Linked DNA regions of Saccharomyces cerevisiae S288C. The gene in region 1 interacts genetically with each later gene. Each region holds a gene or a part of one and is shown in the gene's direction. Other genes may lie near its edges. The genes, in order: DBF2, SHE1, CLB2 and RAD52.

What was found.
Region 2: mutations in DBF2 (region 1) and SHE1 together harm fitness more than expected from each alone (negative genetic interaction), as found in Saccharomyces cerevisiae (2 studies listed by BioGRID).
Region 3: mutations in DBF2 (region 1) and CLB2 together harm fitness more than expected from each alone (negative genetic interaction), as found in Saccharomyces cerevisiae (5 studies listed by BioGRID, with this or other methods).
Region 4: mutations in DBF2 (region 1) and RAD52 impair growth when combined (synthetic growth defect), as found in Saccharomyces cerevisiae (2 studies listed by BioGRID, with this or other methods).

The regions. Positions count from the first base shown.
Region 1 is NC_001139.9:664,728-672,658, forward strand, and holds DBF2 (serine/threonine-protein kinase DBF2), read left to right. Parts: upstream 1-3,461; coding exon 3,462-5,180; downstream 5,181-7,931. Other genes in the region: rRNA-processing protein UTP22, read left to right, coding at 1-1,344; U4/U6-U5 snRNP complex subunit PRP31, read left to right, coding at 1,614-3,098; DRN1 (Drn1p), read left to right, coding at 5,661-7,184; VAS1 (valine--tRNA ligase), read left to right, coding at 7,459-7,931. UniProt on the Saccharomyces cerevisiae protein: Ser/Thr-protein kinase involved in the mitotic exit network (MEN) and required after the metaphase to anaphase cell cycle transition. Phosphorylates CHS2 to regulate its dynamics and chitin synthesis at the division site during cytokinesis.
Region 2 is NC_001134.8:158,091-165,569, forward strand, and holds SHE1 (She1p), read left to right. Parts: upstream 1-3,608; coding exon 3,609-4,625; downstream 4,626-7,479. Other genes in the region: STU1 (Stu1p), read right to left, coding at 1-299; RIB1 (GTP cyclohydrolase II), read right to left, coding at 566-1,603; HEK2 (Hek2p), read left to right, coding at 2,094-3,239; ADP/ATP carrier protein PET9, read right to left, coding at 4,951-5,907; YBL029C-A (uncharacterized protein), read right to left, coding at 6,398-6,682.
Region 3 is NC_001148.4:767,902-775,799, forward strand, and holds CLB2 (B-type cyclin CLB2), read left to right. Parts: upstream 1-3,751; coding exon 3,752-5,227; downstream 5,228-7,898. Other genes in the region: S-methyl-5-thioribose-1-phosphate isomerase MRI1, read left to right, coding at 1-1,086; B-type cyclin CLB5, read right to left, coding at 5,974-7,281. UniProt on the Saccharomyces cerevisiae protein: Essential for the control of the cell cycle at the G2/M (mitosis) transition. Interacts with the CDC2 protein kinase to form MPF. G2/M cyclins accumulate steadily during G2 and are abruptly destroyed at mitosis.
Region 4 is NC_001145.3:208,160-215,945, reverse strand, and holds RAD52 (recombinase RAD52), read left to right. Parts: upstream 1-2,015; coding exon 2,016-3,431; downstream 3,432-7,786. Other genes in the region: NDC1 (Ndc1p), read right to left, coding at 1-1,757; SRC1 (Src1p), read right to left, coding at 3,791-4,375, 4,502-6,421; AMD1 (AMP deaminase), read left to right, coding at 7,086-7,786. UniProt on the Saccharomyces cerevisiae protein: Involved in DNA double-strand break (DSB) repair and recombination. Promotes the annealing of complementary single-stranded DNA and by stimulation of the RAD51 recombinase.

The DNA.
Region 1 (7,931 bases):
AAATGGCCAGATGAAATTACTTCCTTAGAAAAGGCTAAAACAGCTTTTCTTCTCAAAATTCAAGAAGAATTAAGCGCTAACTCTTCAACTTATAGGTCGTTTTTCAGCAGAGATGAATCCATCCCATACAATTTAGAAATTGTAACCTTGAACATCTTGACACCTGAAGGTTATGGATTCAAATTCAGAGTTCTAACTGAACGTGACGAAATCCTTTATTTAAGAGCTATAGCGAATGCTAGGAATGAGTTGAAACCAGAATTGGAGGCCACATTCCTAAAATTTACTGCAAAATATCTGGCTTCCGTAAGACATACTCGTACTTTGGAGAATATATCTCATTCGTATCAATTCTACTCCCCTGTGGTAAGACTATTCAAAAGATGGTTGGACACTCATTTATTACTAGGTCATATAACGGACGAATTAGCAGAGTTGATTGCCATTAAACCTTTTGTTGATCCTGCACCATATTTCATTCCAGGTTCTCTTGAAAACGGTTTCCTCAAAGTGCTTAAGTTTATAAGTCAATGGAACTGGAAAGATGATCCATTGATTTTAGATCTAGTAAAACCAGAAGATGATATAAGAGATACATTTGAAACAAGTATTGGAGCTGGCTCAGAGCTAGACTCCAAAACGATGAAAAAGCTTTCTGAAAGATTAACCCTAGCACAATATAAGGGCATTCAAATGAACTTCACGAACTTGAGGAACAGTGATCCCAACGGTACACATTTGCAATTTTTTGTTGCCTCTAAGAACGATCCAAGCGGTATTCTTTATTCATCAGGTATCCCACTACCCATTGCTACAAGGCTTACAGCATTAGCTAAAGTAGCCGTGAATCTTTTACAGACACACGGTTTAAACCAGCAAACTATCAATCTTTTATTCACGCCTGGATTAAAAGATTACGATTTTGTCGTTGATTTGAGGACACCAATAGGTTTGAAATCATCCTGTGGTATACTTTCAGCCACAGAGTTCAAGAATATAACTAACGATCAAGCCCCATCGAACTTTCCAGAGAATTTGAATGATTTAAGTGAAAAAATGGATCCAACATACCAGTTAGTGAAGTATTTGAACTTGAAGTACAAGAATAGTTTGATTTTATCAAGCCGCAAGTATATAGGTGTGAATGGTGGAGAGAAAGGAGATAAAAATGTCATCACAGGGCTAATAAAGCCACTCTTCAAGGGAGCCCACAAATTTAGAGTAAACTTGGATTGCAACGTTAAACCAGTGGATGATGAGAATGTGATTTTAAATAAAGAAGCCATATTTCATGAGATTGCTGCATTCGGGAATGACATGGTTATAAATTTTGAGACAGATTAGAATAAACAACAAAATCATAACTTTTAGAAGTATCTGTATAATATTAAATAATTAAAGCAGCCGGCAGTTTACATAAAGAATATTTTTCTTTAATTCTTTTTTTTAGATGTGGTCCTTTCGGCGATTTGGCACAAGTTAACTTAGTATTTTTAAAAGTTTTGAATAGTACTGCTGTGGCGACGCTCAGAATAAAGCTAGGTAAACGATTTGAACGCCTCAACTAGCACTATTTGATAGCATTTTGGCTGCAGAAAATATACAAAGACCTTATGAGCTCTGAAGAGGACTATTTCGATGAGCTCGAATATGACCTTGCCGATGAAGTTAATGAGGAAAAAGAAGACATACAAACTAAAAAGCTCACTACGGTAAATTGTCAAACAGAAAAATTCAATCCATTCGAAATTCTTCCGGAAAGTATAGAATTATTCAGGACGTTGGCACTCATCAGTCCTGATAGGTTATCTCTATCAGAGACAGCACAGATTTTACCAAAAATTGTCGATTTAAAAAGAATCCTTCAACAACAAGAAATAGATTTCATTAAACTGTTACCGTTTTTTAACGAAATCATCCCCCTCATCAAGAGCAATATAAAATTAATGCACAATTTTCTAATCTCACTGTACAGTAGACGTTTTCCAGAACTATCTTCATTGATACCATCACCATTACAATACTCAAAAGTGATAAGCATACTGGAAAATGAAAATTATTCAAAAAACGAAAGTGATGAACTATTTTTCCACTTGGAAAATAAAGCAAAATTGACCAGAGAGCAGATCCTCGTTTTAACAATGTCCATGAAGACGTCTTTCAAAAACAAAGAGCCATTGGACATCAAAACGAGGACGCAAATTTTAGAAGCAAATAGCATATTGGAAAATTTATGGAAACTACAAGAAGATATAGGTCAATACATAGCCTCAAAGATATCAATAATTGCCCCTAACGTGTGTTTCTTGGTAGGCCCGGAGATAGCAGCCCAATTAATAGCACATGCTGGAGGGGTTTTGGAGTTCAGTCGCATTCCCAGTTGCAACATTGCGTCCATTGGGAAGAATAAGCACCTCTCACATGAGTTACATACATTAGAGAGTGGAGTACGACAAGAAGGATATCTATTTGCTTCTGACATGATTCAGAAATTTCCCGTTTCTGTCCATAAACAAATGCTTAGGATGCTTTGTGCAAAAGTATCACTAGCCGCAAGAGTTGATGCTGGCCAGAAAAACGGTGATAGAAATACAGTTTTAGCTCATAAATGGAAAGCCGAACTATCGAAGAAAGCTAGAAAGCTATCAGAAGCCCCGAGCATTTCTGAAACGAAGGCTCTACCTATTCCGGAGGACCAACCCAAAAAGAAAAGAGCTGGGAGAAAATTTAGGAAGTACAAGGAAAAATTCAGACTATCGCATGTCAGACAATTACAAAATAGGATGGAATTTGGCAAGCAAGAACAAACTGTTCTTGATTCCTATGGTGAAGAAGTTGGTTTGGGTATGTCTAATACTTCTTTACAACAAGCAGTAGGAGCTACATCAGGTTCCAGAAGATCTGCTGGTAATCAAGCCAAGCTAACAAAGGTAATGAAGCACAGGATTTCTGAGGCTAATCAGCAAGCTGACGAATTCCTAATCTCCTTGGGTCATAATACAGAGCAACCGAATCTGTCGCCAGAGATGGTTCAAATGCACAAGAAACAGCATACTAACCCAGAAGAAGAGACCAATTGGTTTTCCGGTCATGGTTAGGGCTCTTCTACATACTTGATAATATTTAAAAAGATATTATATAGTAGTGACCGGCGAGAGCGTTTTCGCTCATAAATTTCGTAAAAAGCCAAACACCACACGCTGCAACCCAGATGCCCTTTTTAGGAAATGTAATTATTCAAAAAGTAAACAATGACATGTTTCATTCCTCAATCTAAATCATTCGAAGCTACCTTGATGTTGAAGCCCTCCGCTTGTTGTTTATTTAAAAATAAATACAAGGAGGCAATTCGTCCAAGTAAATTATTGTAAGATAGAAACCTTGCTAAAGATAGAAACTAATATACCAGAAAAATTCAAGCAACATCTACAGTATTCCTTGCTAAAGAAAAATTCTTTAATATGCTATCAAAATCAGAAAAAAATGTCGACCTCTTGGCAGGCAATATGAGCAATTTGAGTTTCGATGGGCATGGGACTCCTGGGGGCACTGGACTATTTCCTAACCAAAATATAACAAAGAGGAGGACAAGGCCTGCGGGTATCAATGATTCACCTTCGCCGGTAAAACCATCCTTTTTTCCTTACGAAGATACTTCCAACATGGACATAGACGAAGTATCTCAACCTGATATGGATGTCTCGAACTCTCCCAAGAAGCTTCCACCAAAGTTTTACGAAAGAGCAACTTCAAATAAAACACAGAGAGTTGTTAGTGTTTGCAAAATGTACTTTCTAGAACATTACTGTGATATGTTTGACTATGTAATTAGTAGAAGACAACGCACGAAGCAAGTTCTAGAATACCTGCAACAGCAAAGCCAACTTCCGAATTCTGACCAGATTAAACTCAACGAAGAGTGGTCCTCTTACTTACAAAGGGAACATCAGGTTTTGAGAAAAAGAAGGTTGAAACCAAAAAATAGGGATTTTGAAATGATCACACAAGTAGGTCAAGGTGGTTATGGGCAAGTTTATTTAGCCAGAAAGAAAGACACAAAAGAGGTGTGTGCTTTGAAAATTTTGAACAAAAAACTATTGTTTAAGCTCAACGAGACAAAACACGTTTTAACTGAAAGAGATATCCTAACCACGACAAGGTCTGAATGGTTAGTAAAACTTCTGTATGCATTCCAAGACCTACAAAGTTTATACCTGGCTATGGAATTTGTACCAGGCGGTGATTTTCGTACATTATTAATAAATACTAGATGCTTGAAAAGTGGCCATGCGAGATTTTACATCAGTGAAATGTTTTGCGCTGTTAATGCGTTACATGATTTAGGCTATACACATAGAGATTTAAAGCCGGAAAACTTCTTAATCGATGCCAAGGGACATATAAAATTAACAGATTTTGGTTTGGCTGCTGGTACGATTTCTAATGAAAGAATTGAAAGTATGAAGATAAGGTTAGAAAAAATCAAGGACCTGGAATTTCCAGCGTTTACAGAGAAATCTATAGAAGATAGAAGAAAAATGTACAACCAGTTGAGGGAGAAGGAAATTAATTATGCGAACTCCATGGTTGGGTCTCCGGATTATATGGCTTTGGAGGTTTTAGAAGGAAAGAAATATGACTTTACTGTGGATTACTGGTCGTTGGGTTGTATGCTGTTCGAAAGTTTAGTTGGTTATACACCATTTAGTGGATCATCGACTAATGAGACCTATGACAACTTAAGGCGCTGGAAACAAACTTTAAGAAGACCGAGACAATCTGATGGGAGGGCAGCATTCTCCGATAGAACTTGGGATTTAATAACAAGATTGATTGCCGATCCAATCAATCGATTAAGATCCTTCGAACATGTTAAACGCATGTCTTATTTTGCAGATATAAACTTTAGTACTTTGAGGTCAATGATCCCGCCTTTTACACCCCAACTAGACAGCGAAACTGATGCCGGTTATTTTGATGACTTCACCAGTGAGGCTGACATGGCCAAATATGCTGATGTTTTCAAAAGACAAGACAAATTAACGGCTATGGTAGATGACTCGGCAGTATCATCAAAACTTGTTGGGTTCACTTTCCGACATAGAAATGGTAAACAGGGTTCCAGTGGCATCTTATTCAACGGACTGGAACACTCAGACCCCTTTTCAACCTTTTACTAGCGTAAAAATGAATTCTTGTCTTGCATTCGCCGCGATATAATTAGCTTTAACGAGCTTCATGCAAACTTTTCAACTAGCACCTATGAACGCTTTTTTCATAAATATACATATATATATATATAGTTGTGCATTACTTAGGACTTCAAGCCCATTGTTTAAAATCTCAGTTCACGGTAACGGTCCATCCCATGACCGTTTTGAACTAAACTTAAGCATTCATGTTGGGAGCGGCGAAACTTGGTAATGTTTTACAGGAAAACAGCAATGACCACTATTAATCGAAAATCTGCAAAAAATGAAAAGGAATGGGTGTTAACATCAATTGTTTTTTCAATGATAATTACAAATTGGACTGATACTACATTGCTAGATGTACAAAAAACGCAAGGTAGCTCTCTTAGAAGGATCCATAATATATAAAAAAGGGCTTATGGTTTACTGATATCTTTTTCACTTCAAAAACTTACATATAAAAATAGGATGACAAATGCAAAGATTTTAGTAGCTCATATAAGTGAAAGCGATGCCGATGAGGCTATCAGAAAGATCAAGAAAGTGAATGAAAAATCAGGGCCCTTTGATCTAATAATTATATTCAGTAACTCGTATGATGAAAATTTTGAGCTGAATACTGATGGGTTACCTCAACTAATACTACTATCGTGTGATAAGGCTAACAATTCGAAATCCAAAAAGATAAATGAAAATGTAACATTGCTGCATAATATGGGTACTTATAAATTAGCAAATGGAATCACTCTTTCATATTTTATTTATCCGGATGATACTCTTCAAGGGGAGAAAAAAAGCATACTGGACGAATTTGGCAAAAGTGAGGATCAGGTAGACATTCTCCTTACAAAAGAATGGGGCCTTTCGATCTCTGAGAGATGTGGAAGGTTGTCTGGAAGTGAAGTTGTTGATGAATTGGCGAAAAAGTTACAAGCAAGGTACCATTTTGCCTTTTCAGATGAAATAAACTTTTACGAATTAGAGCCTTTCCAGTGGGAAAGAGAGCGCTTATCGAGGTTCCTCAATATTCCAAAATATGGATCTGGAAAGAAATGGGCCTATGCATTCAATATGCCAATAGGGGACAACGAACTAAAGGATGAACCTGAACCGCCCAACTTGATAGCTAACCCGTATAATAGCGTGGTTACAAACAGCAATAAAAGGCCACTAGAAACAGAAACAGAGAATTCGTTCGATGGAGACAAACAGGTACTTGCTAATAGAGAAAAGAATGAAAATAAAAAAATTCGAACGATTTTGCCGTCAAGTTGTCATTTCTGCTTTTCAAATCCAAACCTCGAGGATCATATGATAATATCAATCGGCAAACTAGTGTATTTAACCACAGCGAAGGGACCTTTAAGTGTTCCTAAGGGTGATATGGATATCTCAGGCCATTGCCTCATTATTCCCATTGAACATATTCCGAAATTAGATCCAAGCAAGAACGCAGAGTTGACACAGAGTATTTTGGCTTATGAAGCTAGTCTTGTGAAGATGAACTACATAAAATTTGATATGTGCACGATTGTCTTCGAAATACAGTCTGAACGTTCTATTCATTTCCACAAACAAGTTATTCCCGTTCCAAAATACCTCGTTCTAAAGTTCTGCAGTGCCTTAGATAGACAGGTTCATTTCAATAACGAAAAATTCACAAGAAATGCTAAGCTAGAGTTCCAATGTTACGATTCACACTCTTCCAAACAATATGTGGATGTAATTAACAACCAATCCAATAATTATTTACAATTTACCGTCTACGAGACTCCTGAAGCGGACCCAAAGATATATTTGGCCACATTTAATGCCAGTGAGACAATAGATCTGCAGTTTGGACGACGTGTACTAGCCTTTTTACTTAACTTGCCACGCAGGGTGAAATGGAATTCTTCAACCTGTTTACAAACTAAGCAACAAGAGACTATAGAGGCTGAAAAGTTTCAAAAGGCCTACAGGACCTATGACATTTCTCTCACAGAAAACTAAACTAAAACTATTTCATTTAGAATTTCAAATATATCCAAATATATGTATATATATGTAGAATACTAAGTCATGCTACCTCTGAACGTTTAAGAGACCTAGCAACTCAGAGGTGATGAATTAAAAGAAAAACCGGGTAAAGTTCTTCGAGAGACCGCGCTGAAAAAATTTTTTTAGAAGAGTCACCCATACAGCCTACTGGTGTTCTCTGTGTGTGCTACCACTGGCTGTCATCGTTGTTGTATGTCCTTCAGATTTATGGAATTACTTAGATGGTATGAATAAGTGGTTAAACACATTATCTAAGACATTCACTTTTCGGCTTTTGAACTGTCATTATAGGCGATCATTACCACTTTGTCAAAACTTTTCTCTGAAGAAGTCGTTAACTCATAATCAAGTCAGGTTCTTTAAAATGAGCGATCTTGATAATTTGCCTCCAGTTGACCCAAAGACTGGTGAGGTCATCATTAATCCGTTAAAGGAAGATGGCTCTCCAAAGACTCCTAAGGAAATTGAAAAAGAGAAGAAAAAGGCTGAAAAACTGTTAAAGTTCGCTGCCAAACAAGCTAAAAAAAATGCTGCTGCCACCACAGGTGCATCTCAAAAGAAACCTAAGAAAAAGAAGGAAGTTGAGCCAATCCCTGAATTTATTGACAAAACTGTTCCAGGTGAGAAAAAAATCTTAGTATCCTTGGATGATCCGGCTTTAAAAGCTTATAACCCTGCTAACGTTGAAAGTTCTTGGTA
Region 2 (7,479 bases), on another chromosome or scaffold:
GACTGCATGGCCACACGTTTGATAAGGTAACAAAGCGAGGAATGTGATAGGAAGATTAACCGCGGGTACGAACGGTAAGCGTAATGGCCGGAGATGAACAGTAACGCAGCGAAATAAGCTTGGATCGACGATTCGTTAACTAGTTCCTTTTTTACATGTCCTTTGAACCGTGTAAGCAGTGCCATTTTTTCCTCGATGGGTACAGACTCGTCCTTGAATACGGTATACAAAGGGAAGGAATCGTCTGGATGTGTATTAGTGTTGCTGTTATTATTGGTCTCATTGTTGAAGGACGACATTATTTCTGAAGAATACAAGGTCTCTCCAAAAACCCTAATAATTACCGCTAAATATGCCTGTCAATCGGATGAAGGGAAGTTTCAACCTCAAATGTAAATAAATAGATGTTTAGCGTTTTAGAATAAATAAGTAAATAATTTGATTTTCTATAAAGATGTTAATGCGCCAATACGCGCCGACGGGGTAACGCATTAAAATAACATGGTATTTTCGTTTCATTACAAAAAAAGCACTATATGTACTAATAATTATGCTACACTTGTGTTTATATTGCCAGCGTCGATGTTGATGACAACGCAGAGTTCATACGGTTTTGGTTTTGGGCTTCACTTGTCTCAGTAGGTTGAGGGTTTGTATGAAGTTTCAGAGGCTCCGTTAGTAAATGACCCATTCTTTCTATCTTGGTCCTGAGATAACCTTCTATCTCCTTGGAGTCTATGCCTTCACTGGAGTTTGTCCAGTGTATGGGTACCATAGGCACTCGTTCAACGCACTTAAGGTAAGGCGCATGATCTACCTGTTTTATCTTTTCCGGGTTATTTGTCAGCAGCCTGACATTACCGATGCCAAGATCCAGCAAAATAGCCTTACCCAGCGAGAAGTCCCTAGCATCCACGGGATGTTTCAGCATTAAGTTGGCCTGCACTGTGTCAGCACCTAAGTCTTGCAGGTTGTAGGCCTTGAGTTTCTCACCTAACCCGATGCCACGACCCTCTTGTCTTAGATACACGATAACACCATGGCCGTTTCCACCTTTGATGTTGCTTGTGGGTTCGTGGTCGCAAGCGATAAGCCTACCGGCCCTATCGAATTGTTCACCACAATCACAACGGGCGCTCCATGCGTTTTCACCGGTGTAACATTCAGAATGGATCCGTACCAGCGTGTCGTTATGGGCGTCCCATGTAGTGGCTTTGGAAGCTAATAACTCACCTGTACTATCATCAAACTCCAGAGCTAATCCGAGTCTATCGTCTTCGTCTGCCACAGTTCTGCCGGGATACAGTTTGCCAATATAAGCGCCCCTGATCATTCTATCTTGTTGCGTCTCGCACTGTCTTCTACGGAATAGCGAGCGCGACCGTATGTCTTCACCAAACACAATGGCTAGATGTTCCTTGTTGTCCCTGTTGTTACTGTAAAGATGTAAAAAGATATCCGGACCCTGTGTGGTTGGGATACGAGCTCTTGCGACACATTGTACTAGAGGCAAGCCGCCATCGCCGTTCCTGCCATCACCCGTACCACTAACCTCGTATTTGCTGCTATCCTGTTTACTGTTGTCGTAGTTATCTATGGTCATCCTGTAGGTTTGTTGTAGTTTTATGTACGCCACTTTTTGTAATGACTCAATTATTGTCCACGCCAGCACAGCAACTTCTTTATATATACTATAGCGGCGCTGGCGCTCACCCCACAAGAGCGTCCGACTAATTTCTGACAAATCGTAAAAAGAAAAAGAAAAACTCAAAGGAAAAAGAAAAAGTCTCACCCTACACAACTTGTTTTCAAAAACGGTATAGACCCTACTATTTCTGTTTTAGCCCTATGCTAAGTCTAGACATTACCCTATCCCTTTTAACGAAAGCCCTTTTGTTTTTTTTCTGTGTGTCCGGCCGCTCAGCCAAACAACAAACAAGACTATAATCTGGAGCATAAGTACCCGAGCATATATAACTACTTGGCATACGAAGTAAAAGCATATTGCTCCCCACTCCTATCGCGCGTCCCCTGTACAACAAAGCATCAACTTATCGGGTAACTTAGAGACAGCATTAGTATATATACCAGCCATGTCACAGTTCTTCGAAGCTGCTACTCCCGTTGCAATTCCCACAAACAATACCAACGGCGGCTCCAGTGATGCCGGCAGCGCCGCCACTGGCGGCGCCCCCGTTGTTGGCACCACCGCTCAACCCACCATCAATCACAGGCTTTTGCTGTCATTGAAAGAGGCTGCCAAGATCATTGGCACTAAGGGCTCCACCATCTCACGCATAAGAGCTGCAAACGCCGTCAAGATCGGTATTTCTGAAAAGGTGCCCGGTTGCTCTGACAGGATCCTGTCCTGTGCTGGGAACGTAATCAATGTGGCCAATGCCATTGGTGATATTGTTGACGTGCTTAACAAACGGAATCCCGAAAATGAGGACGCAGCTGAGGGCGAAGCGGAAGAGCACTACTACTTCCACTTTTTGAACCATATTTTACCAGCTCCCTCAAAGGACGAGATCAGAGATCTGCAGCAACTGGAGGACATCGGTTATGTGAGGCTCATTGTGGCCAATTCCCATATCTCATCGATTATCGGGAAAGCAGGCGCCACCATCAAGTCCCTGATCAATAAGCACGGCGTTAAGATCGTGGCTTCCAAGGACTTCTTACCTGCTAGCGACGAGAGAATTATCGAGATCCAGGGTTTCCCAGGATCCATCACCAATGTACTTATCGAAATTAGCGAGATCATCTTGAGTGACGTTGACGTCAGATTCAGCACAGAAAGATCTTATTTCCCTCATCTGAAAAAGTCCTCCGGTGAGCCAACTTCCCCTTCTACCTCATCTAACACTAGGATCGAATTGAAGATTCCAGAACTGTATGTAGGCGCCATTATTGGCCGTGGAATGAACAGAATTAAGAATTTGAAAACTTTCACAAAAACCAATATTGTCGTGGAAAGGAAGGATGACGATGATAAAGACGAAAATTTTAGAAAATTCATAATCACAAGTAAATTTCCTAAGAATGTCAAACTTGCTGAGTCCATGCTTTTGAAGAACCTGAATACTGAAATTGAGAAACGTGAAAACTACAAGAGAAAATTGGAAGCTGCCGAAGGAGATGCCACTGTTGTTACTGAACGCTCTGATTCTGCTTCTTTCTTGGAAGAGAAGGAAGAACCTCAAGAGAATCATGATAACAAAGAGGAGCAGTCGTAGTATATACGTGTGCGTGCGCACGTCCCACACAGACAAAACAAACTATCATCTTAACGAATAATGTTGCATCATTACTAGTTTAAACTGTATTTTTATTAAAGGGAAAAAAATGATTCAATATGTATATATTTATTCATGTATATGTATTTTGAATTAAAAAAAAACGTTTTATAAATACTCAATAAAGCCGTTGTATTTTCTTTATTACTATCGAAATTCTTGCTTTAAACATTTCGCGCATCGCCGGCTAGAGGCACAGAGAGGGAAGGGGAAAATAACATGAAAAAATCGTAAGTTTCTAGGCAATGGTATAAACAAATAAACAATAAACATGCAATTACAGCTCTAGAACACATATTATCTTCATGGATGAATGATAAACTCCAAGAAGAGCATAACGAAAAAGACACCACTTCACAAATTAATGGTTTCACGCCGCCGCATATGAGTATAGACTTTCATTCAAATAACAATAGCAATATCATCGAGACTATTGGCGTTTCCAAAAGATTAGGAAATTCTGTATTAAGTGAACTGGATTCTAGAGCTAGCTCAAAATTTGAATTTTTAAAAGATCAATCCGAACAACAATACAACGGCGACAAGAACAATGAACCAAAATCGGGCTCGTATAATATTAATGAGTTCTTCCAAGCAAAGCACGACTCTCAATTTGGCCAGATGGAGTCGCTAGACACACATTATACCCTTTTACATACGCCCAAGAGAAAGTCACAACATGCAATCCCACAGGATCGATCGGATTCGATGAAAAGGTCGAGACCGTCCCGCTCAATTCCATACACTACACCAGTGGTAAACGATATCACAAGAAGAATACGAAGATTGAAATTACGGAACTCATTGGTTAATGGTAATGACATAGTGGCTAGAGCGAGATCTATGCAAGCAAATTCTAACATTAATTCAATAAAGAACACACCATTGTCAAAGCCCAAGCCATTTATGCACAAACCAAACTTTCTAATGCCCACTACGAATTCTTTGAACAAGATCAATTCCGCTCACCGTAATACATCCTCCTCTTCGACAGCTTCATCGATACCAAGATCTAAAGTACACAGATCGATATCAATAAGAGATTTACACGCCAAAACCAAACCGGTAGAACGCACGCCAGTTGCGCAAGGAACAAATTCGCAATTGAAGAATTCAGTTTCCGTTTTTGATAGACTTTACAAGCAAACAACGTTCTCTAGGTCGACGTCTATGAACAACTTATCGTCAGGAACCTCTGCAAAATCCAAGGAACACACAAATGTAAAGACTCGGTTGGTTAAAAGTAAGACAAGTGGTTCATTGTCCAGTAACCTTAAGCAAAGTACTGCCACCGGCACAAAGAGTGATAGACCTATTTGGCGGTGATTAAGTAATAAAAAAATTGCATTTTATAAGAAACATCATGTGATGACATTTAAAAAGTGGGAAAGAATACTACTAATATAAAACTATTTACTGGATATTTAGAATTTTTTTTTTTTCTTCTTTATACGTAAAAGTTGTTCAAAAAATTTCATCGTTTTCTTTTTTTATGAATCTTTGATTCTTGTTGAAAAGAATTTCTAAAAAAATAGGAGGATAATAATATTATCAAAACAAATCGTGTCACTCATTAAACACCAAAAATCCAAAGAAGAAAAAAAGGAAAATGTGAGAAAGAATTTAGATTAAGAATCAAGCCAGATTAGACTTATTTGAACTTCTTACCAAACAAGATCATTTGCAGTTGGTCGTACATTGAGATAACACCAGCACCTGCGACACCTCTTAAGATGTTAGCACCACAACCCTTGAATAGAGAACCAACACCTTCAGCAGCAACAATCTTCCTCAAACAGTCAAAGGCACCGTCGTACTTAACAGCTTGACCGGAGGTCATCATCATTCTTCTTCTAACGGTATCCAATGGGTAAGAACATGTAGAAGCACCAGTAGTAACAACCCAACCCAACAAGAATGAAGCCAAGAATGAACCTTCCAAAGAACCAGTCAACAATAGAGGCTTCAAAGAATCGTACATACCGAAGTATAGACCTCTGTAGACAACAATACCAACGACAGAAGGTAAGAAACCTCTGTAAAGACCAGCAACACCATCAGATTTTAAGGTCTTCTTGTAGACATCGATCAAACCGTTGAATTGACGAGCACCACCCTTTTTAGAGGACTTGGAGTCAGCAGCCAATCTAGTTCTTGCATAATCCAAAGAGTAAACAAATAGTAATGACAAGGCACCAGCAGCACCACCAGATGCCAAGTTACCGGCAAACCATTTGGCGTAACCTTCTTCCTTCTTGAAACCAAACATGGCCTTGATCTTGTCCTTGAAGGCGAAATTCAAAGCTTGAGTGGGGAAATAACGGATAACGTTAGCAGTGTTACCTCTCCAGAATGAGATAACACCTTCCTGTGTAGCGGTTCTCTTGAAACAGTCTAAGATACCTGCGTATTTTCTGTCCAAAGTACCTTGTTTTAACATTTCATCTTGGTTTTGGATCAAAAGTTTAACTCTTTCGATGGGAGATGCAGCAGTTTTGGCGACAGCGGCACTGACACCACCCATTAAGAAATCAATCAAAAAGTTAGATTCCTTCTTTGGAGCTGGGGCTGGAGGTAATGGGGTTTTGACTTGGGCGTTGGAAGACATGGCTATTTGCTTATATGTATGTTAATGTATGATTCTGAAGTATAAAAGAGCACACAAAAAAGAACAACGACAAATATAAATAATATAGAGGGGCTCCTTTGACTTGTAGATGTATTGCAATGTTCCGTATAACTAACAGTGAATATATACTTTTTTGAGTGGGTTGTCGTGAAAAATTAATATTAAAAACTCAAATGGTATTTATATTGTGCGACGACGTGGGCCCGATCGACGGAGACATGTCCCCGATAATCGCACCTCACCCTCTGAGAGTGGGGCCTTCTCATTGGCCCGCGCTCTACACCAATCAGCATAGCGCATTTACCGCCTTTCGCTTGTTCTCCATTGGAAACAGTGCTCGTGCATCGTGATGTTATTTGTTACGTATGGAAAAATCGTGTCTATACTTCTGTATAATATATGTATGGTTATAGTGAACACATATATATAAATACATATATAAGAGGAAGAAAAGGAAATTATTTCGTTATCAGTTGGGCTGCTTTTGTCGTAAGTTTTGTTGTTCTTGAATGACTTTATTAAGCTGTTCGTCATTCTTAAAATCTTGTCGCCAATTGCATATGGGGCAGTGCAACTGTTTTCCCCAGAAGACCGGAACCAACGGTATAAACCAAATAGTGAAAAATTCCTTTCTTTTTATGGGGCCGACACTATAATTGTGACAATTCGGGCAATACAGGTTTTGATGTCCGGGAACGGTATCGTATGAAGAGTCGAAACTCTTCATACCACATACAATAGGTATGAATGACATGGTAATTTTTTCTTTTTGAGGTTGTGTATTAAGTTGCTTATCTGATTTCACTTTACACCAATCTTCCTTGCTGACATTTATTCCCAACTTGTTCTTCAGCCGCTTGTTTTATAACGTACATTATTGTAAAAACGGAGTAGAAAGGGAAAAAGGGAAAGGGATGGACGTGGCTAATGCGCATCTTCGTTTGTGTGTATATCCTTTGATCTTCACTACATAATTTGTTACCCGACAATGCTTTTTTTTTTTTCTCAATTTTCATCTCTTTTCTTTTTCCTCATTTCTTATGAAAATCAGTGTGACTAAAATGAGACTTCGTATTTTTTGTAGAGGCACCATACGCCGGCTCCGCCGTCACCACATTCTCCCCTGCCGGTAAAGACCGGCGCACGCGGAAAAGGCGTACATAGCGTCGGGCGGTAACGGAGTCATTCCATCGCTGATAATTACCCCTTGCAGCAAACCCAGAGCCCTATTACGAATCTAGCCCATACACCGCGTTAGAGCACTCGCCGTTTTGCTCCGGGTCGTGCCGTCGTACATGCATACGCGTCCTGCAGGCATACCATAAGCCCACATACAATCACCTGTAGAAAGAAACAAAGCTTGTGTATGTAATCAAAGCAGAAATCTGATGGGTTCGAACGACTTCGTTATAGAAATATTATCTTTGGGTCTCGTCCTGCGTTATTCCTCCTGTCTCCTGCCGCTTTGATAACCTTTTCATTCCTCCCCTTAACTTGTTATTTCGTGTTACGATATTGGGTAACTTAGTAGCGTAAATGGTAAAATGTAGG
Region 3 (7,898 bases), on another chromosome or scaffold:
AGAGGTGCCCCGGCAATTGCAATTGTGGGTTCGTTATCTGTTTTGACTGAGGTACAATTAATAAAACACAACCCAACTTCTGATGTTGCTACGCTGTATTCTTTAGTTAACTGGGAATCTACAAAAACAGTGCTAAATAAGAGGCTAGATTTCCTTTTGAGTAGTAGACCCACAGCCGTTAATTTATCAAATTCTCTTGTAGAGATAAAGAACATACTGAAATCCTCAAGTGACCTAAAGGCTTTTGACGGTAGTTTATATAATTACGTCTGTGAATTGATAGATGAGGATTTGGCGAATAACATGAAAATGGGTGATAATGGAGCTAAGTATTTGATTGACGTGTTACAAAAGGACGGTTTCAAGGACGAATTTGCCGTTCTGACGATTTGTAATACTGGATCCTTAGCAACCTCTGGATATGGCACGGCTTTAGGTGTTATCCGTTCTTTGTGGAAGGATTCACTTGCTAAAACCGACAAGGCAGACTCGGGATTGGACAATGAAAAATGCCCGAGGATGGGCCATGTCTTCCCACTGGAAACTAGACCTTATAATCAAGGGTCAAGGCTAACAGCATACGAGCTAGTTTATGATAAGATTCCATCAACTTTAATTACTGATAGTTCCATCGCGTATAGAATTAGAACTAGTCCAATTCCAATCAAAGCAGCATTTGTTGGAGCTGATAGAATTGTTCGTAATGGGGATACAGCAAATAAAATTGGTACTTTACAACTTGCTGTAATTTGTAAGCAGTTCGGAATTAAGTTTTTTGTAGTAGCTCCCAAAACAACTATCGATAATGTAACCGAAACTGGCGATGACATTATTGTGGAAGAACGTAACCCTGAGGAATTCAAGGTTGTTACTGGTACAGTAATTAATCCTGAAAATGGTTCCTTGATATTGAATGAGTCAGGAGAGCCAATCACTGGAAAGGTCGGTATTGCCCCTCTTGAAATCAATGTCTGGAATCCAGCCTTCGACATTACTCCACATGAGCTTATTGACGGAATTATCACAGAAGAAGGTGTATTTACCAAAAATTCCAGTGGTGAATTTCAACTGGAAAGCCTTTTCTAGATATCATTCTAATTAGACTCTCGAAATAATTACTTTTGTACTGTAAAGGATAAAATTTCATATTGAGATGTAAGAATTATTTTTTTTTTTCATTCAATAAAAGGAACACATTAATGTATATTGTCAGAACCTTGTAAGTCCAAAACACTATAACCAACTGATACAATATGTATTGTCTTTGTTTCTGCATATTTGTAAAACGTGCAAAAAAGTAAAGAACTCCTCATAGGGGGCTCGAACCCCTGACATTTCGGTATCCTTGCTTAAGCAAATGCGCTTAAAAGCCGAACGCTCTACCAACTGAGCTAACAAGGATGAGTTCTTCGGAGCGTGTTGTATCTCAAAATGAGATATGTCAGTATGACAATACGTCATCCTGAACGTTCATAAAACACATATGAAACAACCTTATAACAAAACGAACAACATGAGACAAAACCCGTCCTTCCCTAGCTGAACTACCCAAAAGTATAAATGCCTGAACAATTAGTTTAGATCCGAGATTCCGCGTTTCCACCACTTAGTATGATTCATATTTTATATAGTATATAAGATAAGTAACATTCCGTGAATTAATCTGATAAACTGTTTTAACAACTGGTTACTTCCCTAAGACTGTTTATATTAGGATTGTCAAGACACTCCGGTATTACTCGAGCCCGTAATACAACAGAGCGTCCTTAATAAATATTTCTATAAATATTTGATGTTTACCTTCCGAAAAAGGTACATTGCCAACCTTATTTGATAAATGTGTAAACTAAGATAAGTGTTGAGATCGGATTTTGATAAAGGCATTTGTTTGGGGTGTATGAGTTGGGAAAAGAAACAACAATCATCTCTTGACCAGTTTTCCTACTACTAGTGTGTTATCATATAGCGTAAGAGTATGACATAGAGATTGAGAAACAGAAACTGAATCATAACGAACATCACAGAATTTACATTTCTACACAATTTTCAGAAAAAGTGGAGTGGTGATATATGCTTATTGTTCTACAAGTTCTCTTCATGCGTTTTTGTTTATCTATCTTATTGAATTATTATCTTCATGCATTTATACTTATTAAATTCGATGAACATTTCATATTATTTTTATATGCTTCATAATTCATGTTACTACGATCTATACAGAGTATTATCGTAATGTCTTACCTTTAGCTTGTCACTTAACACATGCACTGCATTTCGAAAAGATGCTTAAGCAAGTTTATCATAATTTGGGAGTGTTCGGTGAATTTATACAGAAAGCCCCTCCAACGTCTTATTGATAATGTATATTTAGTTCATTTACCAAAATACTATCAATTCATCAACCTCCAAGTGGTTTTGACTAAACAGCCCACAATTGACATATGTGACTGCTAAGCAGACCTTTCTTGAAGTAAATTTCAGGGAAACTAAGCTACGGCCTTTCCAAAATATGGGCAGGAACTGCTTAATCCTTTCCTTTTATTAGATAAGCACTTTAGTATTTTTGTTTTTCATGGCCTTATCCTACGTTATTGTCGTGAAAGAAATGGCAGAAATTTCTGTTGTACATAAATTACTAACTGCCTTACCTTGAAAACGGTTTTATTACAAAAATAGGGGTCAAGTGTTTTGTTATCCCTGTTGTTGTTGTTTTATAAGTCCTAATCTCGCTTGAATATCGCCCATATTCACACCCTGTTCTTGACCGTCTACTAAGGTGCCTTAGGGGGACTCAAACTTAAGATCGCCTTCTACGCGTTTTATGCTATGATCATTAGTGTTGATGCATCGGAAGTTTAAAAATTAAGTGCGAGTGCATTAGCACAGTGGAATTATTAGAATGACCACTACTCCTTCTAATCAAACACGCGGAAATAGCCGCCAAAAGACAGATTTTATTCCAAATGCGGGTAACTATTTGTATAATATGTTTACATATTGAGCCCGTTTAGGAAAGTGCAAGTTCAAGGCACTAATCAAAAAAGGAGATTTGTAAATATAGCGACCGAATCAGGAAAAGGTCAACAACGAAGTTCGCGATATGGATGAACTTCGGTGCCTGTCCCTCGAGGAAATAGCAAACTCGTTACAGCTAGCATCTCATAGCATGGGCATAGAGTTTCAGAAATTTTGCTCTTAATGGAAAATATAACCTCTTTGGGGAAAAGAGAAATAGATCCTTTCTCAAAAATTTAGAAAGGAAAAAAAATCAAAATATAATAAAATAGATTTTTTTTAGGTTAATTTTTTGCCAATTTAGCTAGACTTTTGAAAAGATCCAAAAATTTACTAAAATTGAATCTTTCTGGTATTAATTTTGTCCTATACCTCAAGAAGTAAAGTATTCTCGAATTGATACTTCTGAAAAGCGAAAGAAATATAGCTAAAGGATACTGGTTATTTATTCTTTCTTTTTTTCTTTCTTTTTGATTGAGCCAGTGTATAATAAAAACCTACTGCGAGCTATTCAATAAATTGACATAGAATATCTGTTGAAGCGGTTCTTTGATTGAGCATCTGTTTTCCTTTTGTATTTTTGTCCTTTTAGATTCTTTTAACGACATTGGAGAAATTTTAATCATTGTATAAAAACTTCATTCGCTCGTTTGTCAGAAGTTTTTTTATAACTTGCTATTTCCTTCCAAGAAGCCTTTTATTGATTACCCCCTCTCTCTCTTCATTGATCTTATAGATGTCCAACCCAATAGAAAACACAGAAAACTCACAGAATACTAGTTCATCAAGGTTTTTGAGGAATGTACAAAGGTTGGCCTTAAACAATGTAACAAATACGACATTTCAAAAGAGTAATGCGAATAATCCAGCCCTAACAAATTTCAAATCTACACTAAACTCAGTAAAGAAGGAGGGAAGTCGGATTCCTCAATTTACTAGAGAAAGCGTATCAAGATCAACAGCCGCACAAGAGGAGAAAAGAACCCTGAAAGAAAATGGTATCCAACTCCCCAAAAACAATCTTTTAGATGATAAAGAAAACCAAGACCCAAGTAGTCAGCAATTTGGTGCGCTAACTTCTATAAAGGAGGGGAGAGCTGAGCTGCCTGCAAATATAAGTTTACAAGAATCCTCCTCAGCGAAGGAGATAATCCAGCATGATCCCCTAAAAGGCGTTGGATCAAGCACTGAGGTAGTCCATAACTCGGTAGAAAACGAAAAACTTCATCCAGCTAGAAGTCAACTTCAAGTTAGAAATACCGAAAGTGAAACTGATAGTGGAAAAAAAAGACCAATTTCTACAATTGTTGAACAAGAACTGCCCAAAAAGTTTAAAGTGTGCGATGAAAATGGCAAAGAAGAATATGAATGGGAAGACCTAGATGCAGAAGATGTAAATGATCCATTCATGGTCAGCGAGTACGTCAATGATATATTCGAATATCTCCACCAACTAGAGGTCATTACTCTTCCAAAGAAGGAAGATCTCTATCAGCATAGAAATATTCATCAAAATCGAGATATCCTAGTTAATTGGTTGGTTAAAATCCATAATAAATTCGGCTTATTACCGGAGACTTTGTATCTTGCCATTAACATAATGGACAGGTTTTTAGGTAAAGAGCTAGTTCAACTGGATAAGTTACAATTGGTTGGCACATCATGCCTTTTCATTGCCTCTAAATATGAAGAGGTCTATTCTCCTAGTATAAAACATTTCGCATCAGAGACAGACGGTGCATGTACGGAAGATGAAATCAAAGAAGGGGAGAAATTCATTTTAAAGACATTGAAATTTAACCTAAATTATCCCAATCCGATGAATTTTCTGAGAAGAATTTCGAAAGCAGATGACTACGATATACAGTCTCGAACTCTTGCCAAATTCTTATTAGAGATATCATTGGTAGATTTCAGATTTATTGGGATACTACCCTCATTGTGTGCAGCAGCTGCGATGTTTATGTCGAGAAAAATGTTAGGTAAAGGTAAATGGGATGGAAATCTAATACACTATAGCGGCGGGTATACTAAAGAAGAACTTGCGCCCGTGTGTCACATGATAATGGATTATCTAGTGAGTCCAATTGTTCATGATGAATTTCATAGAAAATATCAATCTAGAAGATTTATGAAAGCTTCTATAATTTCCGTCCAATGGGCTTTAAAGGTTAGAAAAAACGGCTATGATATAATGACCTTGCATGAATGAGAAGAGGGGCAGATGCTTAAAATATCTAAAACGATAATCGATAAATGTCCATATAAAATGTATGGCTGCTTTTTAATCATTTCTTTTCACATTTCCATTTATTCTTACAAATTTCACACCCAATTTTAGCGCCTTTCATTCTGTTATTTTTAAACTGACGATAAAAAATCATTCGAAGCCTAAGATTTCCAAAATAAAACTCCATTTTTATTCTCACTAATAACACCACACCATTAATTTTAATTTTTTAATTTTAATTTCAGATTTGTACCATAAGTTTTATTCTATTTCAGTTCAACCGTTTCCGGATGCATGTAGCGAGGGTAGACAAAGAAAAGCATCAGTATCGGATGTTGATATTATGGGAAATATCATAACCTTAGTCTCTTAAAAAATGCTGCTTTCTTCTCATTTTTCATTTCTTTTAAAATTATTTCAGTATAGTTATTATAATTAACATTGGAATAACATTAATAATAATAATTTTTTAATAGTAATAATGATAATAATAATAATAAAAATAAAAGAATAAATTTAAAAACAAAAAAAATTCTAATATTAATGATGATAATAGTAGTAATACTGGTGGTATTATATATGTTGAAGTGAACACGCATATCACTATAAACTATATATACATATATATAGATAGATAGATAGATGCAAAAAATTTTTTCCTTTTAGTTCAGCAAAAAGAAAAGAAAATGTAAAGAGTATGCGAATTCATGAGCATTACTAGTACTAATCTACTTAAGATTAAATAGATTTTGAAAGTTGCTATGCATTTCGGATGTACACCACTTGAAAGTTTGGAAATAAACAGAGCCATACCTTGGTTTCTTGTACTTCAAAATCAATGAATCTAAATGAGTTTTGGAACTAGCGATGTCTTTGACTAGATCAATGCAGAGAGACTGAAACGCTTCATCGTGTATTGGATCGATACCACCACTGTAATGCTGTAGTGTTCCATTCCATAGCTCGTTCTTGTTTCTGTTGGTCATTCTTCTCGCTATATACATTGCCATTGCGCTTACGGTAGATGGAGGTAAATGAATGAATTGGTGGCAGCAGTAGGCATACTCTAAAATAAACTTACCAATATTTCTATTAACCGGATCGTAATCATCTGCCTTGGAGATCCTCCTTAGGAAATTGAGTGGGTTGGGCCAACCAATGTTGAATTCTAAGGAAGTGAGCATGAACATTTCCGCATTTTTTATGTCGTTTTTAGAAGCCGCGCCGTCAGTGATATAAGCGTATTCAGCTAGTTTGGGCAAATTTACCTCTTCAAATTTTGCCGCGATGAAAAGTGAGGTAACTGCCAATAATTGTAACTTGTTCATCGTAACTTTATTTTTAGCTAAAAATCTATCCATTAAGTTTATGGATAGGAATAACGTTTCCGGATAGCATTGAAATTTTTCGTGCACCTCTACCAGCCAATCCACTAATATTGTTCTCATGGAAGGCCTCAAATAATACTTGGACGTTTTGTCGAGTAAATAGTTGTGCGATGGTAACGTTTCTAATTCTCTTCTATATAAAAATGCAAAAATTTCAGCAGAATATTCTGCTACCATTGCAGTATCATCTTTTTCAACATAATCTAGGTCCTGCCAGCCTACTATTTCACTCACTCCTTCAGCGTCTATTCTGCGTTTTTTGTTCACTATCGAAGCAGCATCATCATCTTCTCCTTCTTCTTCTTCTTCTTCTTCTTGCTCTGCTGCCGTTCGATCGTTATATATCTGTCTTTTTTGAACGGCGCTAACAATAGGTCTAATGTTTTCTTCTCTTCGTACTTTGGCCGCCTTGCTCCCTGCTACTATTCTCTTGTTCTGGCTTAAAGGATTATTGTTCACTGGTACATCTGTTAAAGCCCTTCTTGGTTTAGAATCCTGAACCTGCTGCTTACTAGAGCTGTCATTTTTTGAAAGGGCCCTTTTATTTTGAAGAATCTTTAGGTTTGAATTGCACAACTGCCTCTCATTTTCATTATAAATCATAGAATTTCTTTTAATACTCTGCTCATGGTCGTGGTTCTCTCCCATTGTTCAGTAAAGGTGTTCAGCGGCTTTAAATACAGGGAAAAGCGCGTTACTGCTAATTATTAAGCTTATTTTGCTTTGTGTGAGACAACTAATTGGCCGTGAAAAGCTTTAGGTGATTGAGTCTCTTGAAGTACAAAGACAAAAAGACTTCAATAGATAGACAGAAAAAAAACTTTTCTTGAGAAGCTTAAGAATTAGTTCCAAGTAGCTTCTAATAAACCGATGAACGCAAATGAAGTTCCCTTCGCGGTAGATGGCAGTAGCTATCGGCAGTCACTAGGAAAAGTGAGTTTAGCACAGATATGCTGTGGGCGCTATCCCAATGTGGGCAAAGCGCGTGAACATCACGACGCGCCTTCCCGTTAAATTTTGTACCATCAAGGGCGCGTCTTCACTCGAGATGCGCGTTCTTTTGCTGGTTCTTTTCACTGAGGGCACAGAATATGATACCCACAGTATGACAAGTTTTAATCGAGATAGTTTGACGTTCGTTTTTTACTTTGAATATACTCGTAGTCTTTTTACTTTTTGAGTATAAAAAAAAAATGACTAGCAAAATAAAATTAGTAGTCTAAAAAAGAAAGCTCGCACTCAGGATCGAACTAAGGACCAACAGA
Region 4 (7,786 bases), on another chromosome or scaffold:
TCTTGGGCTGTCCTTTGTGTTTGGAAGGCAGTGTATGCCATCGATTCCGGATCCCAATCGGCAAATTCACCCAGTGCACAGATGGACCTCTCCAAAGTCTTAAGAATATCCCCAACGGATGCAATGATACCGCCTTTTGGATCTTCTGTCTTTGATCGGATCAGCAGTCCTGTCAGTGCTACCACACTATTTGCGTGGCATATGGGCAATGGAACCAGCTTCTCAGCTTGCCTTTTCTTGGAAATGGACCATATGTCAATTATCGAGATTTGGGCTTTGTTGGAGCCATTTGGTAATAGTCTGTAATTGTCGCTTTCATCAGATGATTGTCTTTCTGCGTAGGAAGGGAAAATAAACGACATTATAGAATTTTTCAGTTTTTTTAACATCAGACGCATAGCGGTCATAAATGTTGTTTCGTGGGTGAAAATAGAGCCGTTAAAAGTTTGTGTCGTTTCATCTAAATCGTTGTCGTAATACGAGGACCTATGCCTTTTCTTGTTTCCGCGGTTAAGCAATACACTATCGTCAGTTCTTACCCTCAGCCTGTTTGGTGATTCATCTAATAAGCCGTTATCCCGTAATGGCGCCATCATAGAGGGTCGGTTCCCAAAGAGTCTTTCGTTGGCGCTTGTTAGTTTCCCGTTCTCATACATATAATCTAGATTTTCTACTTTTTTTTTATGTCTAGCAGTTGCAGAGCCCCCAAGATCTTGTACTGATCTTAGGTACTGCACAACCTTTTCATTGTTTATCTGAATGGTCTTCAAGCATTCATTGAGGATTAATGACCAAGTATTACCACTACTGCTTCTGAACTTGGAGTGATATATTGGTGCTCGCAATGATGGATCCAGTGAAGTGGCCCTATACGCTAGTTCCTGGTAGGCAGTCAACCTAGTAAATGGCTTGTCTGCAGAAAGCCCACTAAGCAGGGTTTCCATCGGCGTCGACGACAAATTCGAAATTAGCTTGCCCTTGTGCAGACAACCTATGGACATATGTGCGTCAAATGCTATATTTATGAATTCGAAAGTGATGAAGATAATGCAGGAGATTATTAGTAAATTTGTGACAGCTAGCACGCCATTCGTAAATGAATCAAATAATCCCGATTTTTGCCTGGAAAAAAATACTGTGGTAAAGATTGGTAATACGAACATGCTGATTACACTTAGAATGACTGACTTCTCCATAATCCTCTTGACACGCTCTAATACGTAGTCTTGTGGGGCCTGGAAAAAGTTTTCGCAGTTGAACGACAATTTGTCAGCGTCAGTGACATGATGTTGTAGGTTGTAAATCGTGGGAACGACTAGCCAAATAAACAGCTTATAGTATGGCTTCCATCCAGATCCGCCACGTCCGAAAACCACACCCAGTACGAATGATAAAAGGATGCTGCCCATGCTATAGACTCCCTGGTATACAAGAAACTTTACTGATAACAATTGGCCTAGAATGAAAGTAAGTGAATTAGCGAACCCAAAATTCTTTACATGCATGTAATTTTTTCTTGTCACAATGATCAAAAGGGAAACTAGGTTAAGAGCTAAAATATTGGGAATAAATGCCAATGCCAGTTCCCATAACGGTGAGTGTGGCAACGCCAGCAGTGAAATCACCACAGTTTGGATAATAGAACATATGAAAAACAACCTCGTAACTAAATGGTTGAATCGGGTCTTGCACACGTCGCTAAAGATGGTATGGTACGTGTACCGTGGATTCAACAACTCCCTTGGCGTCTGTATCATCTGCTTGCCCTGTAATGTCCTTTCGTCTTCTCAATCACACTTACTCATCGCCAAAGAGTCTGCTCTTCCCGTTAGTGATTCTCGATGTTATTATATTCTTTAGTCTGTTAAGAAAAGACGAAAAATATAGCGGCGGGCGGGTTACGCGACCGGTATCGAATGGCGTTTTTAAGCTATTTTGCCACTGAGAATCAACAAATGCAAACAAGGAGGTTGCCAAGAACTGCTGAAGGTTCTGGTGGCTTTGGTGTGTTGTTGATGAATGAAATTATGGATATGGATGAGAAGAAGCCCGTTTTCGGTAACCATTCCGAGGACATACAGACCAAATTGGACAAGAAATTAGGACCTGAGTATATCTCCAAGAGAGTTGGGTTTGGAACAAGCAGGATTGCATACATCGAAGGTTGGAGAGTAATTAATCTTGCTAATCAAATCTTTGGATATAATGGCTGGTCTACGGAGGTAAAAAGTGTAGTTATCGATTTTTTGGATGAGCGACAGGGAAAGTTTAGCATAGGGTGTACTGCAATTGTTCGTGTTACGTTGACTAGCGGGACTTATAGGGAAGATATTGGGTATGGTACCGTGGAGAACGAAAGACGGAAACCTGCCGCTTTCGAAAGGGCCAAGAAATCTGCCGTTACGGATGCCTTGAAAAGATCTTTGAGAGGGTTTGGTAATGCTCTAGGAAATTGTCTTTACGATAAAGATTTTCTGGCAAAGATCGATAAGGTGAAGTTCGATCCGCCAGATTTTGACGAAAACAATTTGTTTAGGCCAACGGATGAAATCAGCGAAAGCTCAAGAACGAATACTTTGCATGAAAATCAAGAACAACAACAATACCCGAATAAAAGAAGGCAATTGACTAAAGTTACAAATACCAATCCCGACTCGACGAAGAACCTGGTGAAAATAGAAAATACAGTAAGTCGAGGTACCCCAATGATGGCCGCACCTGCTGAGGCTAACAGTAAAAACAGCAGTAATAAAGATACTGATCTCAAATCTCTCGATGCTTCCAAACAGGATCAAGATGACCTTCTCGATGATTCTCTTATGTTTAGCGATGATTTTCAAGACGACGACTTGATAAATATGGGCAACACAAACAGTAATGTTTTAACGACAGAGAAGGATCCCGTTGTAGCTAAGCAAAGCCCAACTGCTAGCTCAAACCCAGAGGCAGAACAAATCACCTTTGTTACAGCTAAGGCTGCAACTTCCGTACAAAATGAACGTTATATTGGTGAAGAGAGCATTTTTGATCCCAAATACCAGGCACAATCCATTAGGCACACCGTTGATCAGACTACGTCCAAGCATATTCCAGCGAGTGTGCTAAAAGACAAAACGATGACCACCGCGAGGGATTCTGTCTATGAAAAATTTGCACCAAAGGGAAAACAATTGAGCATGAAGAACAATGATAAAGAACTGGGGCCTCATATGCTAGAAGGGGCTGGGAATCAAGTACCGCGTGAAACCACACCAATTAAAACGAACGCTACAGCTTTTCCGCCTGCAGCTGCTCCACGGTTTGCGCCGCCTTCTAAGGTAGTACATCCTAATGGAAATGGTGCAGTGCCAGCCGTTCCGCAACAAAGATCGACACGAAGAGAAGTTGGAAGACCAAAGATCAATCCCCTGCATGCACGCAAGCCTACTTGAAACGCTTCCTGGCCGAAACAAATAAAAAATTTGCATCATTATTTATTACTCCAAAATCCTCTAGTTACTCTTTCAATTCTGATTTTATTTGTATTTCTTCCTATATCGTCTAGTTTTTCTTTCCTCCATGTGTCGTATTAATATTTACTTTAAATCGAATAAAAAATTCTTATTATTTTACAAGTCATTTTCAGGATTAGATTCATTATAACTTTACAAAAGTATTACATAAAGAATTATATAACAGATATTAGGATAACCGTATAAATAGAATAAACTATACAAATATGGCAACTCGGAAAAACAATAGATCATTAAGTTTGAGAAGAGAAAACTACGTTTGAGTTTCATTTTGTGGGTTATATTTTGTTTTCAGCGGAATCCTTAGGTTCATTGAGTTCCATCGGACCTATCCATTCCCAACATTTCATTATTTCACCTCGAATTTCAGTTAAGTTCGATTTAATATTACTGTTATTATGCTCTAAATATTTTACCACTTCTGACCATAATTGATTTTTGTATTTCAGATCGACAATATCAGAAAGAAAGATGTCACGCAATTGAACTATGCTCAAATACGCGTTTTCTTTCGGATCGGACATTGATTTAATCTTTTGGAATTTCAATTTTTCCATGGTTTGAGTAACGAGTTCTTCAATTCTTGCCTTCTTTCTATAATAATTCTTCAGCTTGATCTCGATTACTTTACTAATGACTATCAGTAAAAACATTAGCCATATTGGCCTTTGAAATTTTTTATACGTTTGGTAGATTTCTCTTTCAAATCGACACTTCATTCCAATGTATTTCTTGGACGTCGACCGAAAATTCCTCGTCTTGGAGATGAATTTTTCTGGAAGATGTCTCTTCTGTCTCGGAACGTCATTGGTTTTAATGATGTTGTTGGAATTTCCGCCAATGTTGTTGTCAGTGGGTGATAACTAGAGAAAATTAGGAAAAGATGTTAGTAAATAAATCAAAAACAAAAAAAAATTCAAAAAAAATTAAAACTGTTATCATATAATAACAGGTTTAATAATTTTTGTAAGATAATAAATTGTACTCACTTGCCTCCATAATATTTCTGGTTCTTCAGTTAAATCTTTGATAACTTGGATCCACAGGTCCTCAAATTCATCGTCGCGAATCCAAGGAGCTCTAGCCTCATTAAATATTTGATAGAGGGCATCTTCCGTCATACCACTCTCGATGTCGTCTTTTCCGTCACCGCATGAAATTTGTGCATTTTTGGCTCTCAGAAACTCTAAAGATTTTTCAACCACTTCGGAAACTAACTGCTGTTTTTTGTCGTCTTTAACACATTTGCCTTGTGCAGGAATAATTTCCAAAAAGTCAAGTCTAGATGGTGCTAACTTGTAATCTGGCTTACATTTAAGTTTCAAATAAGGATAACAAATACCATTGGGTGGACAAGGGATACATTTCGGTCTGTAGTCCTGCAACAAATTATCCAGTTTTTGAATAAACTCGAAGGAATTGCCACTAACTCGATGGGATGGTACTTCATGCCCACAGTAACCTATGAGCAGTCTTTGCTCTCTATACCAGAGGCCAAATAAGAGAGGAATAACAATGAATATGCAAAATAAAAATAGCGCCAGTAATGATTTGCTCAAAAATTTGAGTGCTCTTTTGAACTTATGCCTGTTCCCGACCTTCCCAGATCCTTGCTTAACATCAAATTCACTCCCATTTTCATGCTCTAATTGCTCATTTACTTCCTCTTGAAGTTCTTGCACTCTTGCTTCACACTTTTCGACGTCTTTCTCTGTGGGTAATTGGGGAGTCTCGATCCTTGTAGGCACTAAAACTTCATCTTCATCCGATACCAAGTTACTACTATCTGTATCTATCATTTCGACCACATTATTGCTGGTATTACCCATAGGCTGATGAGGACCTGGCGTGGTGATCTCTGGAAGCAAGGGTGCTTCCGACTCTGAGCCAGAGCCTTCGGACGAAAACAAAGACGGTGTTCTTTCACTCTGAGAAGGTTCTTGCTGTTCCACTTCTGGAACCAGTATTGTAGATGGTACCTCCTTTTGAGGCAATTTATCCGCAAATGAGGCAGAAACTTTTAACTTACTCAAGGGTGTGCTATGGCCTGTTCCATTGGCAGTTCCGAGCTCTTTTGGATTGTGTCGTATGTTCGGTACAAATGGATCATTTTCCGTACCGCTTGAAGTCAACGAATCGTTAAAATTATCCATGCTTACTGGCTTTCTATTTGTGTTCTTTATTGGTGTTTTGACGGAAAGTTTTCCTAAAATGGCAGAGCCATTTCCATGCTCTTGGTTCAAATCACTCGTCTTACGCTTTTTTGCCTTCTGGTAATCCTGTTCAATTTCTGAATCTGATGATAGGAGGTTCAAATGCTTATTATCGATTTTATTTTCCTTTGAATTAGATTCAGACCAGTCGTCAGAATCAGGGTCTTTCCTTTTCTTACGAGTATCGGAATTTTGCTGGAAATCATTGGTGTCTGATTTGTTGGAGCTTGATGTTATCACATCATCCTCTTCATCGTCCACTTCATCGGTATCCGTTCCACTAGGTACAATTAAAGGATCGTCTTTTTTATCATTGTCATCATCATCATCATCATCATCATCATCATCATTACTTACATCATCCAGTATTCTATTCTTCTTAAACTGTTTGGCCATGGGGGAAGCAGATTTCTCCCTGCGAGCTCGTCTACTTCTACGAGGGGAAGCTATAGATGGGGAAGATGAGGGACGGTCCATTTTCACAATACCTTCATCGCTGGGCCGAACGTTCAGATACATTTTCCGTAACTGCGGGATCTGCGGTTTAACCTTTTCATCGAACAGCCCCACCAGCGCATTTTTCCTAGCATTAGATGGGAAATCGACATTATTTTCTACCAATATCCTCCTCAAAGTCGCAACTTTCATTGAATTCGGATCAAAACCGTCCTCTAAATACTCCAAGTCACTATTCATCGCGGCACTAACTGAGTACTGCTACCGTTCTACTGTTTGTTGTTCTGGCCTCTACGTTCACTCCGTATGGTCTCAGTCTACTATTAATAATGACTGAGGACTATTTCTCTTCCATGTATTCCGCATAGTATATTGACAGCTATACAAGTAGATCGATGTCCAGATTAGCCACCACAAATTGAAACCAAAACAAAAACAAAGGGGGCTTCCTAAAACAGTAATTTTGAGGGCTCTTTAAAACCCTTGATTTCCGTTCAGGGTGATCAATATATATATCCTAGTTATTTTATAGATGCCCTAACTTTATTTTTAGGGCACGTGGGGGTCTTCTCTTTTCTTTTTTCATTCCTTTTTCATCTTTTTTTTGCGCCTGGCGATGATGAGAAAGGAGTTCTAGTAGCACAAGGTTTAAAGGATATTATCAAAAAATAGATAAATTTTAAAAAAAAAAAAAAGGCATCTCTTGACGACTTTTCTTCTCTCTCTCTACAGGCAGAATTAGCAGCGTTTCTCGTATACTAGTCAATTATCGGATATTAATAGTATTTTTATTATAGTCTCCCTGCTATAGCCAATTTTGATTCAGCAAAACTCGATTGAACTGCTAGTACGCCAGATTAATAAATTATATAACAAATAAAAAGGGGGCATTCTAAAAAAAATTATGGACAATCAGGCTACACAGAGGCTTAACGACCTTTCTCTAGAACCAGCTCCTTCACACGATGAACAAGATGGTTCAGGACTAGTCATTGACATAGATCAAAGAAAGATTGGTGATGAACAAGCTGGTGTCGTAGTGGATGATGAGACACCCCCCTTAGAGCAGCAAGATTCACACGAAAGTTTAGCTGCTGATTCTCGGAATGCTAATTTCTCGTATCACGAGAATCAGCAGTTGTTGGAAAATGGCACCAAACAGTTGGCCCTAGATGAGCATGATTCTCACTCTGCCATCTTGGAGCAACCATCGCATTCTACCAATTGTAGCTCTTCCAACATAGCAGCGATGAATAAGGGCCATGACTCGGCAGACCATGCATCTCAAAATTCCGGGGGTAAACCGAGGACCTTGTCTGCTAGTGCTCAGCATATCTTGCCAGAGACGCTCAAGTCATTTGCCGGCGCTCCGGTAGTGAATAAGCAGGTACGTACCTCTGCCTCCTATAAAATGGGAATGTTGGCTGATGATGCTTCACAGCAGTTTCTTGATGATCCCTCTTCCGAGTTGATTGACTTGTATTCCAAAGTGGCAGAGTGTAGAAATTTGAGAGCCAAATATCAGACCATATCTGTGCAAAACGATGATCAAAACCCAAAAAATAAGCCAGGCTGGGTAGTCTATCCACCACCACCTAAACCTTC